Linked DNA regions of Caenorhabditis elegans. The protein of the gene in region 2 purifies or fractionates together with the protein of the main gene of each other region. This does not show direct contact. Each region holds a gene or a part of one and is shown on either strand. Other genes may lie near its edges.

Region 1 (4,346 bases), on a different chromosome or scaffold from region 2:
ATAATGAATCCTAAAATAGCTTAATTCCAAAAGTCAATCCTTAAAGTGCATTCCCAGTTGTACTCGATATGAATCGTATACTAGAAAATATTTTTTTTGTTCAATTCCAATATCTAAAAGTGCAACTAATAAAAAAACAGTTGCTTGTTTTTTGCCGACTTCCGTATCACCCGTCTGACTGGCACGGAGCAAAAGTTCCAAATGACTATAAATCTGGAAACGTATATGTGTGTGTGTGCTTGTGTTTGCACTTTCTTCTTCTCAGACGCAGATAGTTTCTAGAAGGACCACCCGGCACGGCGAGCACTCCCGGGTTTTTTATGGGCGACGAGAGAGTATTGTGGGAGATGAGAAGGTGCTCGCGGAACCATTACATTAAATGAGATTGAGCACACGGCGAGGAGCCAACAAAAAACACACACACACACATACAAACGCCCCGAGAGGACGCTTGAGACATTCTTCCTTGCAAAAGGGCAAAAACACAAATCGTGGTAATGACTATACGAATCAGAAACACAGAAAAAAACGAAGAAGCAATTTTATTTGAAAGCTAAAAAGAGGAGTCCAAATTCTTTAAATTCTACATTCCAAGTCCTCCAGTAACTTCCAACGTGGTTCCAGTGACATATGAAGACATATCCGATGCCAGGAACAACACGGCGTTCGCGATCTCCTCAGTCTCACCGAGTCTCCGTTGTGGAACCATCGAGACCATTGCATCAAGGACCTTCGGAGGCATAGCCTCTGTCATTGGTGTTCTGATGAAGCCGGGGAGCACAGCATTCACGCGGATGTTCTGGAAAATGTTGAATTTTAGATTATTTAGAATTTTATAATATTTTACTGGGCAACTGTCCGATTGGATCTTCGTTGGTGCCGAACCGATTTAAACACCAGAAACCGATCATTGTTTTGTTTCCCAGTTTATTTTTCAAAAAGTTTCCCATGAGGAATAGTGAATTGAACATCAAAATGTTATGTCCAGTATGATAATTCAATTAAAATTCTTCTATTTAAAACGTTAATGTCCTTCATAAAGTTCATACTGTATCATCCGCAATGAACTTCGTCAACCCCCTGTTGGTAAGGATTAAGACATCTTTTATATTACTCGCAATGATATTTTCAGCTCAATACCTTCATCATGGGAATGCTTGCAACTACCTCGGCAAGCCTCGGTGACGAGTCGTGTTTTTTTTTCAAATTCATGTTTGTAGAACCGTCCGATTTTTTGGACCCTATAGCCAAAAGCTTAAGAACCATCTACAAAAGGGACCTCAACAAGTACACGCGCTGCGAAAATCGACAATGACAGTCTTATTACGGGAAAACAATACTCTGAGAATGCGTATTGCGCAACATATTTGACGCGCAAAATATCTCGTAGCGAAAACTACAGAAATTCTTCAAATGACTACTGTAGCGCTTGTGTCGATTTACGAGCTCGATATTTGAAATGAATAATTAAAATAATTTAGGATCATGGAACATCGCTGAGCCCGTAAATCGACATCAGCGCTACAGTAGTCATTAGAAGAGTTGCTGTAGTTTCCGCTACGAGATATTTTGCTCGTCAAACATGTCGTCTTGTGCCCCAGATTTTTTTTTGCAAATTGAGAAAAACAATTAAAAAATGGGTGGTTAGAACAATCTGAAAATCAATTTTTAATTGATTTTACCTTTGTGGCAAGCTCCCTGGCTGCCGATTTCGTAAAACCAATCACTCCAGATTTAGTGGCAGCGTAGTTAGTTTGGCCGAAATTTCCGATTTTTCCGACGATCGACGACACGTTTACAATGGAGAGCGGAGATCCGGCGGCCACAGATTCACGAGCAATCATCTGAGACATCAGAAAAACACTATTCAAATTGACATTCATCACATCCTGCCACTGATTCTGGCTCATTTTCAACAGGGTAGCGTCCTAAAATGTAAAAAGGTCAATTTTGCAGTGTTCTAAGATATAAAAGAGACACGGTAATTTATTTGAAACGTCAGTTTAAAGGTGCACGCCATTTCTTTGGGTCTCGCCACGATCTCAGCCATATTTGATTTTGTATATTTATAAAAACTAACTTTTAATTATTTTCCTGGCGAGACCCATCTGGAAAAACTCGTGCGCCTTTAGGCAAGAGTCCCAGAAAACTACGAAATTCCGATATTCTATTAACCTTGGTGATGCCTGCACAATTCACGAGCACAGATGGCGATTCTCCGGAAGATTTTATGAATTCTTGTAGACGAGCCACGTGTTCTGGCTGAAAACAATTTTTAAACAATTCAATTCTTGAATTTTCTCTTTCTCACATCGCTGACATCAATCTCAAAGGCCGAATGCCCATTTCCAGGAAGATTGCCTGCTGTGGCTTCTGCTGCCGATTTTTTGAGGTCTGCAACGATGAGACGGGCTCCAGAAGCTGCGAATTTCTTGCAAATTGCTTGTCCGATTCCTGATCCACCGCCTGGGATTTTTTGTAGAGTTTGCTAGTTTTTTAAATTAAAATTAGTTAAAATTACCAGTGACAATTGCCAATTTCGATGAAAGCATTGTAGATTTACCTAAAAAATGCTGAGAAGAATTTATTTTTGAAAATTTTTATTAAAAATTAAAAAATCCAAAAAATTTAGAACGAGAGACTGTGTGAGACGAAGAGACGTAGACATTCCCGGGTGGTACGGTATGCAATGTGTGCAAACACCGTCGTGTACGCAGAGAGCGCCACTTTTGAATTCGAAAGCGTTCTCCTCGATTTCGCGCATTTTCATCATTATTCTCTGGTTTTTGTCGATTTTTATTATAAAAATATCGTTCCTTCAGCTTCTCACAATGAATACTCGCAAATCTGAAACGTCAAAGACTGTATCCGCCACTCCAGTCAAGCGGAGATCGACAAGAATCACTAATCTCCCGAAATCAGCTCCTAAAATCGTAAAGCGAAGCTCCGTTCGCCTCAGAGGAGCTCCACAATGCACATATAAATCGGATTCTTCTTCGTCCTCATCATCTTCAGATTCTGATGGAGAAGATGAGTACGCCGCGACAAAAGACGAGCTGAAAGCCGTAGATCACGATAATCAAATGGAAATCGATTTTTCCGATGAAATCGGCGAGAATTTCTCAGAAGAAGATAGCTGCAGTGATAAAGAAAATAGAAGAGTTACAAGAAGCAGGACTCCGACAAGGCTTGAAGAGACTCCATCGAAGAGGCTTGCTCGGGAATTAAGTAAAGCTTCAGTGTCGAAAGTTTCCACTTCAAAAACTCTATTCAAAGAGAGTAAATCACCTCGAAAAGTTGAGATTTCAAGGAAAACAAATAAAGCTCGAGTATTTCAAGAAGAAGATGATGACGATGAAGATGATTTCAGCGATGAAATTGACGAGAAATTCTATTCGAAAACTAACAAAAGAACACCAATCACAATAAAGATCCCTTCAAAAATGATAACCCAGAAAGTAACTCCACTAGTGATCAGCAAAACGCCAGGTGGAACACTGAGAACCCGTAGAAGGGCACGCCAGAACAGTGAAGAACTCGAAGATCTTGTGGATCCACTGGATTCCCGATCGGCTTCAACTCTGAAAGAGCTGGCGAGCAGGCTTCATCTCTCAAAGGTGCCCGAGAAGCTCCCATGCCGAGATATTGAGTCTCGAGAAATTGAGAAATTCATTCGAGAAGTTATTGATCCAAAACGTGGCGAGAGCTCTGCAATGTATATTAGTGGAGTTCCAGGCACAGGGAAGACAGCCACTGTTCGAGCGGTAAAACTTAATTTTTAAATTATTTTTCCAAATTTCTGGTTTTCAAATTCTATTTTTCAGGTCGTCAACTCGATGAAAAAGAGCAAAAAGTGTCAGAAATTCGTGTACGTCGAGGTCAATGCGATGATCTTCAAAAAAACTGTATTCGTAGAGATTTACAACGGGTAAGGACGTCTCGGAAAAGTTGAAAATCGAACAATTTCCATCTAACAACTGCAGAACTCATTGGAAAATGCTCAAAATTTTGCGCGGAATCCTCCGAAATTCGAATTTTTCGAAAATTGTTGGCTAATTTCTGAGTTTTTTCATAAGTTAACGGGGAATTTTTTGTTTTAAAGCTTGGAAATGGATCAATTTGAGCATTTTTAGACAGTTTTCAGCTTAATCGCAAGTTTTTAAAGAAAATATTATGCTGAAAACTGTCAAAAAACTGCTTAAAAAGACGTATTTTCCTTGCTTTAAAAAAATTTCGACTTAAAATTATAAAAAAACGCAAAAAAGTAACTTTAAAATGTCGATAAAAAAACGAATTTCAGTGGGTTCTGCTAGTTTTTACTTTATGAAAATGATCTAAAGTAGTGA
Region 2 (2,574 bases):
CATTATAATTTTTGGGATTCCCCGATATCTAAATGGTTGTTTTGCGGATATTGACTTTCCTTTCAGATGACTCGGTGGCACTGCTTTTACAAATCGATTTTTCTGGAAAATTTTGAATTATTTAGCCTATAAAATCCACAAAACTTACATCATCCGGATGGCACCTCCTGAATTTAAGACCATAGTTGATAGTAGGTGGAGGAATTGTTGGATAACGTGGGTCTTGATGTACTCTGAAAAATTTTAAATGGTTGTGTAATGAGTGTCAGAGCTCACCGAATTTTTCTGGAGTGATGTCTTGGACGATATGCAATGTTTCTGGGTTTTTGATGGTGCTTTATACTATTAAAGTTTCTTAATACAGTAACATCCTCGTTATTTTGAGTATTTCGAGAAGTTGAAGTATTTCTTTGCTTTCTCATTTTTCTTCTAACTATTCGCTTTGGCTGTTTCTTCACTTTTCTTTTCTTCTTATGTGTTTCCGTTGTGTAAATTGGACCAGGTAGAATAATCGGTGATTCAACTTCCCGAATAGTCATCACTTCGTAATTCATCATTCTATCGTCATCTTGTTCACGAGAATGATTGTCAAATAATCTTGGCTGCTCTGTAATAACATCTTCCTGAAGACGAGCTTCACTAAAGCGCCTTCTGACAGAATCAGGGCTTGTTGGCACAGAGTTGAATGGGGTCCAGTCGTCTGAAATTTTAAAATTGAATCACTTTTACGGGTAAGGCAGGATATCACGATAGTGTCTAAAAGGAGGAAGAATTTTTTCTTGTTTTCTGCCTGGAATTGTTTCAGGATTAAAATAGCAAGCCTCGAAGTTTGCCCGCTGGCCCGAAATAGCCTATTCATCAGTCAGCCGCAGAAGGGTTGTTTTTGGGGACCCCGCTTTACCGGTGTAGTATTATTTGACATTGGTAATTTTTTAATTACGGTTAAACATAAGTTAAACAATAAAATTACAAACCTGCACAAAGAGTTCCTGGGCCACATAATGTTTCATCAATATCACTTCCCCAGGCGCTATGTCTATCTTCTGAAATCTCAGTTTTCTTTTCTAAATTAAATAATATTTCAAACCTTCTACATGTTCTGGAGCGGTTCTGGAACTTTTTTGTCCCATAGAGAATACAAAAAGAGACGAAAATGGTTCAGTGGAACGAAACAAACGTGGGATGTAACCATGGAAGTGAGAATAATTGATGGAATAGCTAATGAGCTGAAGCTGAGTAGATCAGAGACTACTTTATTCTAAAAAGTACAGTAGTTGGAAAATTACATGTTTCATTTCTAATTTTCAAGGAAAAGCTAGTAATTACCGTAATCTTGTTTGTACCTGAAATTTTATGTACTGCAGGTGACCAAGTATGTTTGAGGCATGACTTCACACACCTAACTGATAAAGGCCTCTATCACAAACTAGAGTTGTGACGGAAAATTCAACTTCTCAGAATATAGCTCAAAATCTATCAAATTTTATTTTCAAAAATCCAAATAATTGTGCACGCAATGTACTTACTGCTTCATAAAGTTCAGAAGAATTGGATAAATTTGAATGAAGTTTTCAAAGCTTTTATCAGTGACTGTACATTGTGATAGGCTTGTGCTGTTATCAGCTGCCTCAAATAGGTTGTCGCTTGAAAATTTATATAAAAGGCCTACCAGCAGACATGAGAATCAAGCTTCAAAGGCTCTACTCAAAAATGGTCTGCAAGTGTGGTAAGTTGAAATTTCATTACGCTTTTAATTAATTTTGAATGAAACCCCCTTTCCCAGACTGCAAAAACCAAAATTGTTCCTGCAACACCGGAACTAAAGATTGCGATTGCTCCGACGCCAAGTGCTGTGAGCAATACTGCTGCCCAACTGCCAGTGAGAAGAAATGCTGCAAATCTGGATGTGCCGGAGGATGCAAGTGTGCCAACTGCGAATGTGCTCAGGCTGCTCATTAATTTGAAATTAATACTCTTCCCTTTGAAACAAATTCCTACTAATTGATATTGTTCGAGGTTTTTTCTTGAAAGCTGAAATAAATGTTAAATATTTATTGTAATTTCTTAGATTTTTAAACTGTCTTCCTTGTCAACGACCAGAAGCAAAAATTATGGGAATCGCGATAAAATTCAAGGAAAACTTTTGATCATCACTTTTGATCTTCACACGATTTGTTCCTTTTCAAGTAAAATATAAATCTTTTTCCGAACAGACTGAATCCATTATCAATTTTATAGACAGTGGAAAACATTTATCAAGTTAAGACAATTTTGAAAATTACGAAAAATCATTTGACCCAAATGGGTCAGGTGTTATTTCTTAATTCAAAAGATCTCAGAACCAGGAAAAAACATTTTTGTGTGGTTTGTTTTCAGCTGCTTTTCACTTAATAAATCAATTAATGCATCAACCAAATTGTTAAAAACTACAAATAGTGCGACTGAAAATTTAAAAATTGTGCCCAAACTTTTAATGAGGTTATCAATTTTCAATATCTCGAACATTTGGAAATTTTTGGAATTTTTTTGTTGGAAATTTGCTTAAAGTATTTACTAACTTTTGATCTCATATGT
Region 3 (7,774 bases), 5.7 Mb from region 2:
TTATTCGTGCATTTTGTCAAATCAATCTGGAAAATTGGGACTTTTTCGTGAACTTCCTCTTGTGGAGTGCTCCAGAACAAAATGGCTCCGCGATGAAGAAGTGACCAGTATTTGTGCCAAATTGGGACTTTTTTTGCTCTGAAAATTGGAATTTTTAGGTGGTTTTTCGGCGGGAAATTCAAAAATTCAAATTTTCAGTCACTTTTCGGCGGGAAATTCAAAAATTCAAATTTTCAGTCAATGTTTGGCGGGAAATTCCAAAAATTCAAATTTTCAGTCAATTTTTGGCGGGAAATTCAAAAATTCAAATTTTCAGTCAAATTTTGGCGGGAAATTCAAAAATTCAAATTTTTAGTCAATTTTTGGCGGGAAATTCCAAAAATTCAAATTTTCAGTCAATTTTTGGCGGGAAATTCAAAAATTCAAATTTTTAGTCAATTTTTGGCGGGAAATTCCAAAAATTCAAATTTTCAGTCAATTTTTGGCGGGAAATTCAAAAATGTAAATTTTCAGTCATTTTTCGGCGGGAAATTCAAATTTCTAGTCAATTTTTGGCGGGGAATTCAAATTTTCAGTCAATTTCCAAGTACCTCTCCAAAGGACTTGCAGAATCGTGTAAAATATGAAGAAATCCTCGATATTCCATATCAATTGCATCAGGAAGTGATGTGCAGTGTGAATTGAGCTTCACAGTTCCCTCCAGCGGATAAATGACGTCATCCAAATAGAAGCGGCGGTTATCGCCCGACGAATCGCGGTCCAACGTTAAATTTCCGCAAAGTTGGAAGTCACACGCAGGTGACGTGGCATTTTGTATCGATTTTTGTGGCGTGGAGGTAGTCGGGCGGCGGTGAGCGGCTGGAATTTGAAATTTTTGAAAAAAAATTTTTTTTTTTTTTTTGGAATTTCATCCTTATTTCCTAAAACAAATAAAATTTCCAAATTACCATTGCTCGGCACCAGCAAATTCCGCACTTTTTGTGCCAAAAACGCGGCGCACGTCTTCTCAGGTGGTCGGTGCTCGGGAACTCGCTGAAAATTCCAGATTTTTGAGGTATTTGTATCTATTCGTGTGGTAAGACACCTAAAAATTCAGAATCAGTAAAAAATTTGAGGCCGGGGGGCCTTTTTTTTTGAAAAAAATTTTTTTTTGTGTACCAGTGGCTCAGTGGGGTAGAGGTTAGACTCTGGCCCAGAGGTCCGGGGTTCGATCCCCGCTGCGGTCAAAAATTTTTTTTGCTACTCTCCAGTGGTGGGTTAATTAGTTTTAAATCATTTTACGATGTTTTTCTTGGTAAAAACCGATTGAAACTGACTTTATTGGCTAAAATTTTCAAAAACTGATTTTTTACGATGTTTTTTGAGCGGTTTTAATCAAAAATTAGAACTCTACGCAGATTTTCAGCTTTGGTACTTCTTTTCGAAAAAAAAAAAATTTTTTGTACAAGTGGCTCAACTGGGTAGAGGTATGGCTACGGCCCAGAAGTCCGGGGTTCGACCCCCACTACAGTCAAAAATTTTTATTTTCTGTTGTCAAGCATTACCATCATATAAATCTCCATTCCAATGGTAAAATCGACGGGAAGATTGGAAAAACGCAAGTGTTCACCGAAAAGAATGAAATTTTGCGGAGTTTGGAATTGAGCCAAAAGGGTAACGACACCGGTTGCCTCGACTTCTGTACGGCATTTGAGGAGCACAAGGAAAGCGTAAGAGCCGCCTGAAAACACAGAAATTTTGAATTTCCCGCCAAAAATTGACTGGAAATTTGAATTTTGGAATTTCCCGCCAAAAATTGACTGAAAATTTGAATTTTTGAATTTCCCGCCAAAAATTGACTGGAAATTTGAATTTTGGAATTTCCCGCCAAAAATTGACTGAAAATTTGAATTTTTGAATTTCCCACCAAAAATTGACTGGAAATTTGAATTTCCCGCTGAAAACCGATCAATGTTCGGTAGAGCATACTTGCAGCAAGTGCGCTCCACCGAAAATCAATTTTTTTTTTCGGCGGGAATTCAATGTTTTGGAGTTTTGTGTCAAAAAACCACAAATTTTTTCAAATTTTTAACTAAAAACGCAGAATGCGCGCTAATTTAATTCTGAATTTCGAAGTGCGCTCTACCGAACATGTGATCAATTTTTGGCGGGAAATTCAAAAATTCAAATTTTCAGTCAATTTTTGGCGGGAAATTCAAAAATTCAAATTTTCAGTCAATTTTTGGCGGGAAATTCAAAAATTCAAATTTTCAGTCAAATTTTGGCGGGAAATTCAAATTTTTAGTCAATTTTGGCCCAAAAATCTCGAATTTAGACTCAAAAACCACGTACGACTATGGAAATGCTTATTAAACTGAAGCGAAATATTCGAAATGACCATAGTCGATTTAAAATGTCGATTAATCGGTGGTGGTGGATGCCTGACAACAGTCATTGCCTGAAGCCTCCGAACTTCTTCCAATTGAACTTTCAACCGTTCTCTACAAATTAGCAAAACCCGTTGCGACGCGAGTTCTTGCATTGGACATTTCGATTTTTGGGCTTCAAGTAGTGAGTGCTCGGCGAGCAAAATGTGATGTCGAGTTTCATCGATTGAATTGAGTAGGCGGTTCATTTGACGGCGCGAATCCGTCGCGTGATGATCTACTGCCGACCAGTTACTGATTGAGCTCACGAAGGAATCCTGCGCAAAAAATTGATGTAAAAAAATCGATTTTTTACGAAATTTTACAAAATTTTAGTTCAAAAAATTGATTTTTAAAGAAATTTTTTTGAAAAAACGTTTTTTGAATCGAAATTTTTCAAAATTATCGATTTTTAAATGAAATTTTTCTCGAAAAAAACGATTTTTTTTTAGAAATTTCTTCGTTAAAAAACAAAAAACAATTCACTGATTTTTTCGAAAAATTCCATTTTTTTACGGAATTCTACAATAAAAAATCGATTTTTTTAAACGAAATATAATAAAACTTTTTTTTTTCGAAGAAAATTTTCAAAGAAAAATCGATTTTTTTACAATTTGGAGAGAAAACCCTTTTTTTTTGAAATTTTGAATTGGTTTTTTTCGAAAAAATGGATTTTTTACGAAATTTTCGAAAAAAAAAATCGATTTTTCAATAGATTTTTTTCCAAATTTTTGAGAAAAATTCGATTTTTCACAAAAACCACTAAAAATCTTTTTTCCAAACGGGGATTTTCTCAATTTTTTCACTGAAAAACCCGCCAAAAATCTCAGATATAATCCACCTGAAAAGCCGGTGGTGGTTCCGAGTGTTTCGGCGGCCGACACATTGCGGGTTTCGGTGTCGAAGTGGCAAGTGCAATCGGTGCCTGAAGCTTCTTCACAACAATTTTGAGTGGACCCCCCGCGGAGCCCGACGAGCATCGATATTCAACGATGGGCTCTCCAGCGGCATACGGTGTGAAAAGCGTGGGCGAACTCGTGAATTTCGGCGTTTTTGGGCACTCAGGGAGCTGGAGAAGATTTTCCTGATTTTCTGGAACTCCAGAATCTTGAAATGTTCGGTTTAGGGTGCTCTCCTCGTCGTACTGCTGGGATTCCAGATTTTCAGAATTTTCAGCATTTTCCAGCACCTCATCCAGCACCAGAAGCTCTTGGAAACTGCAAAAAATATCGATTTTTTACCGATTTTTGACGAAAATATGCTCGTCGCCATTTTGTGGGCTCCAGAATATCGATTTTTAGGGAACATTTGACTGAAAATTACAAAATTTGAGCGAAAATAGCTCATAACCGTTTTGTGGGCGTGGCCTGTTAGGCTCCGCCTTTTTTTTTTTGAAATTTTGAAGTGTCAATTTGTGTTTTTTCCTGCAAATTTTTTTTTTTTTTTTAGTATTTAGATAACAAGCTCCACCCATTTGGTGGGCGTGGCCTGTTAGGCTCCGCCCTCTTTTTTTTTGAAATTTTGAAATTTCAATTTGTTTTTTTTGCTGTAATTTTTGTTTTTTTTTAGTATTTAGAAAATAAGCTCCGTCCATTTGGTGGGCGTGGCCTGTTAGGCTCCGCCCTCTTTTCAGGCAAGAATATCGAATATTAGAAAATTTTTGACTGAAAATCCGAATTGATTTTTTTTAATTGATTTTTTCGCAATTTTTGCCGAAAAATCGCTAATAACCATTTTGTGGGCGTGGCCTGCGCGGCTCCGCCCCTTCTTAGGCGAGAAAGTCGAATTTTCGGTAGTTTTTTACTTAAAATTCGATATTTTAACAAAAAAAAGTTGGGCAATTCAAAAAATTGTCTCAAAAACCTCAAAAATTTCTGCAAATTTTCGATTTTTATAGGAAAAAATTAAAAATTTGAATTTCGCGGCTTTTTTTTGGACATTTTAGATTTTTTTTTAAAGGAAAAATGTCAAAAATGGCTACAAAATTTGAATTTTTTTCGAATTTATAGCATTTTTGCCGCAAATTTTCGTACTTTGCCACGTCATCATCGGAATTTTCGAAATTTTCAGATTTTTTGGAAATTCCAACGTCATCAGCCACGTAGAGCTCCTCTTTATCCATTTTTTGGGCCAAATTTCGCAATTTCAACGGTGTGGCTCCATATGGATAGGCTCCGCCCACATTTGGAGCATTTTGAGCATTATTCGAATTAAAAACGACAGCCTGGGTGCCACGACGACCATGAAAATGACGTTTTTCGTACGGTGAGATGTATTTTTCCGATTTTTTGGCGAGAATTTCCGGAATTTTGGAGGATTTTGAAGTTGGCGGTGGAGCAATGTGTTCTGGAAGAAAAATGGGTTATTTTTGGCGGGAAATTTCGAATTTTGAAGATCATTTTTGAGAAAAATGTGAAAAGTTGGAAAAACTTGAATTTTTTTTTCGAAAAAAAATTTTTTTTGCAAAAAAATTATCGTTTTTTGGAATTTTTTTAAAATTCGCTCAAAATTCGTAAAATTCCCAATAAAAAGTGAATATTTCGAAAAAAAATTTTTTTTTAATTTTTGAAAAAAAAAAAAATTTTTTGAAATTTTTTTTAATTCTTAAAAAATTTAATTTTTTTCACAATATTCCTTAAAATTAGCTTAAAATCACAAAATTCTAAATTTTAGCGATTTTTCCACCGAAAATTACAGAATTTTAACACAAAATCCGACAATTTTGGTGGTTTTGCTGGAAATTTAGAATTTTCCAGAGGTTTTTCCGTTTTTTCAGGATTTTTTAGAGAAAATTTTCGAAATTCACCAGAAACTCAATGGTAAATTGCCAATTAAAATGAAAATTTTGAAAAAAAAAATTTTTTTGAATTTTTGGAAAAAAAAATTTCTAAAAATTAGTTTTTTGCAAATTATAACTATTTTCTCTGAAAAAGTCCAATTTTGCAAATTTCCACTCAAAATTCAATTTAAACCATAATTTTCATCCGAAAACTTGCGAAAAATCCCATTTTTTCTGGATTTTTCCCAAAACTTTTGGGATTTTCCGATTGTTTTTTCTAAAAAATCAATTTTCCATGTAAAAACTGTATAGTTGGTGTGTTGACAGTGCAAATAAATTAACAATACATGTGAATTTATAAATTTGCATTTGAATAGGAGAAATACCGGGGGAAATGGTTTTTTTTTCTCATTTTCCTCAATTTTTCTCAATTTTCCCCATTTTTTTCCAGTTTTTTCGCATTCCCCTATCGATTTTCTCAATTATCGATTGATTTCCGCACCATTTTCAAGACTTTCAACCCTTTGCGTGGGCGGAGGTGGGGGCTTCTGCTCCAGCATGCCGGAGCACTGATCGAACGCGGCGACGAGATCACGAATTCGGCCGCGTGGCACCGGTTTGCGCCACGTAGCATCTGACGGTGGTGTATCGACGATCGGGTGCGGCATCCAGCGGTAGAACTGGAAAAAATTCGGATTTTTTGTGAATTGTATCGATTTTTCCGGATTTTTGCCCTACCTGACTTGATCCGATTGGCACCGGAGTTGGCGGCATCGATTTTCCGTCGAAATTCTCCATTTTTCGTCAAAAATCTCCGAAAAAACGGCGAAAAACCGTCTAGAAATCGCAAAAATCGATTTTAAAAATTCAAAATTCCATCGAATCCCTCACATCACTGAATTCGTGGCGAGACCTATTTGAAGTTTTGAGCTATGCGCCTTTAAGAAAAACCGTAGTTTTTTCGCGAATTATCGCATTTATGCGGAATTACGGCGAAAAAGCGAGAATAATCGAAGAAAATGCGATAAGAATTGATAAAAAATGATAAGATTGTGTGCATTATTCAGGTGACAGATTGATTTTTGCCCAAATGTTGCGTTTTTTGCGACGAGAAATAATTCATATATTTATTTAGTTATTTTAAGTTTAATTTTTTCACTTTAATAACATTACGCTCTTCAGAAAAAAGACAACATGACTGTGGACAAGGTTAAGCTGGTCATTGGTGAGTTAAACGGAGAATAAAAACAAATTTAAACCAATTTTTGAGTAAAAAATTCTATAAAATTCGTTAAAACTCGAGTTTTTTCTTTTCTTTTTTAAAATTTCTACTTTTCTACGTTCAAATACACCGAAAACGTATTAATTCCGAAGATTTTCGTTAAAACACTGGAAAATTCGAGCTTCCCGCCAGAAAACTGAGTTTGTCATTGGAGCGTGATTGCATTGCTTGGCGATTTAAAAAAACGAGTCTAGACGCTTCAATAATCGATTTTTTCGGATTTTCAGATGATAAACGAGAATTCTAATTTAAAAAAAAACAAGAAGTCTTCAAATTTTCCACTTATTTTCGTCAAAAAACACTTGAAAATTTGAAATTAGCGTCGGAAAACGGACTAGTTCACTGGAGCGCGCTTGCTTAGCGAGTTTTATCGATTTTTAAAGTTTTACATAAAGTTTACCAAATTTTAAGCTTTAAAAACAAAAATTAATCGATTTTCAGACTCTGACGGTGTAAGCGACGACGTGCGAGCCATCTCCCTAGCCTTGCAGCACCCAAAAGCCGAAATTCTCGCATTCACCGCAGTCCACGGCTGTGTGACAGTAGATCAAGCCTGTGCGAACATCAAAAGAACCATCCGAGCCAACGATCGGAGCAATATCCCAGTGTACAAGGGTGCGGCTAAATCGATTTTGTCGCTGCCGAAGGATGATACCGTATCCGATTTTTTCGGGATCGATGGGATCGGTGATAAGCCGGAGGAGTTCCCGAAAGTCGAAAGATCCGATTTTGAGGGGGAGGGGAAGCATGCGTCACTTGCTTTAATCGATATTTTGAGAGAGAATCGGGATGCCACTTTGGTGTAAGTTGAGGCTACAGTAACCCTTCTGTACCCCCACCGCATCCCTACAGTACCCCTACAGTACCCCCACAGCGACCTACAGTACCCTTGCACTATCCCTACAGTACCCCACAGTACCCCTGCACTATCCCTACAGTACCCCACAGTACCCCTGCACTATCCCTGGTACCCCGGACAGTTCCCCTCTAGTATTCACGCAGTAGTGTTACTGTATCCCCACAGTTCCCCACTGTGCCCTTGCAGTAACACTACAGTATCCCTACAGCAACTCTACAGTAACCCTATAGTACCCCGACAGTACCCCAACAGATCCCCTACATAACCCTACAGTACCTCTGGTAACCGAACAGGTACTCACACAATAGTGTTACAGTACCCCTACTGTTCCCCCCACAGTACACACACAGTAACCCTACAGTAACCCTACACTAATTCCACTAAAGCCCTATGGTACCATAACTGTATACCTACAGTATTTCTACAGTACCCCTACAGTATCCCTGGTA

Evidence for each region. The genes of interacting proteins can lie anywhere in the genome.
Region 1: the proteins of mtl-2 (region 2) and dhs-11 fractionate together in Caenorhabditis elegans (co-fractionation; one large-scale study listed by BioGRID). This does not show direct contact.
Region 3: the proteins of mtl-2 (region 2) and ani-3 fractionate together in Caenorhabditis elegans (co-fractionation; one large-scale study listed by BioGRID). This does not show direct contact.

The regions. Positions count from the first base shown.
Region 1 is NC_003281.10:10,640,303-10,644,648, forward strand, and holds dhs-11 ((3R)-3-hydroxyacyl-CoA dehydrogenase), read right to left. Parts: upstream 2,564-4,346; 5' UTR 2,553-2,563; coding exon 2,522-2,552; intron 2,467-2,521; coding exon 2,312-2,466; intron 2,263-2,311; coding exon 2,176-2,262; intron 1,929-2,175; coding exon 1,683-1,928; intron 800-1,682; coding exon 584-799; 3' UTR 534-583; downstream 1-533. Other genes in the region: orc-1 (Origin recognition complex subunit 1), read left to right, coding at 2,832-3,764, 3,825-3,928.
Region 2 is NC_003283.11:14,017,756-14,020,329, reverse strand, and holds mtl-2 (Metallothionein-2), read left to right. Parts: upstream 1-1,656; 5' UTR 1,657-1,710; coding exon 1,711-1,726; intron 1,727-1,783; coding exon 1,784-1,959; 3' UTR 1,960-2,060; downstream 2,061-2,574. Other genes in the region: T08G5.1 (Titin), read right to left, coding at 1-102, 149-233, 277-700, 975-1,043, 1,088-1,130. UniProt on the Caenorhabditis elegans protein: This protein binds cations of several transition elements.
Region 3 is NC_003283.11:19,695,991-19,703,764, reverse strand, and holds the start of ani-3 (Anillin-like protein 3), read right to left. Parts: upstream 6,034-7,774; 5' UTR 5,983-6,033; coding exon 5,923-5,982; intron 5,865-5,922; coding exon 5,687-5,864; intron 4,752-5,686; coding exon 4,439-4,751; intron 3,623-4,438; coding exon 3,247-3,622; intron 2,684-3,246; coding exon 2,332-2,683; intron 1,721-2,331; coding exon 1,545-1,720; intron 1,033-1,544; coding exon 948-1,032; intron 859-947; coding exon 591-858; intron 139-590; coding exon 1-138. Other genes in the region: Y43F8C.13 (Nucleoside hydrolase), read left to right, coding at 6,379-6,409, 6,908-7,268.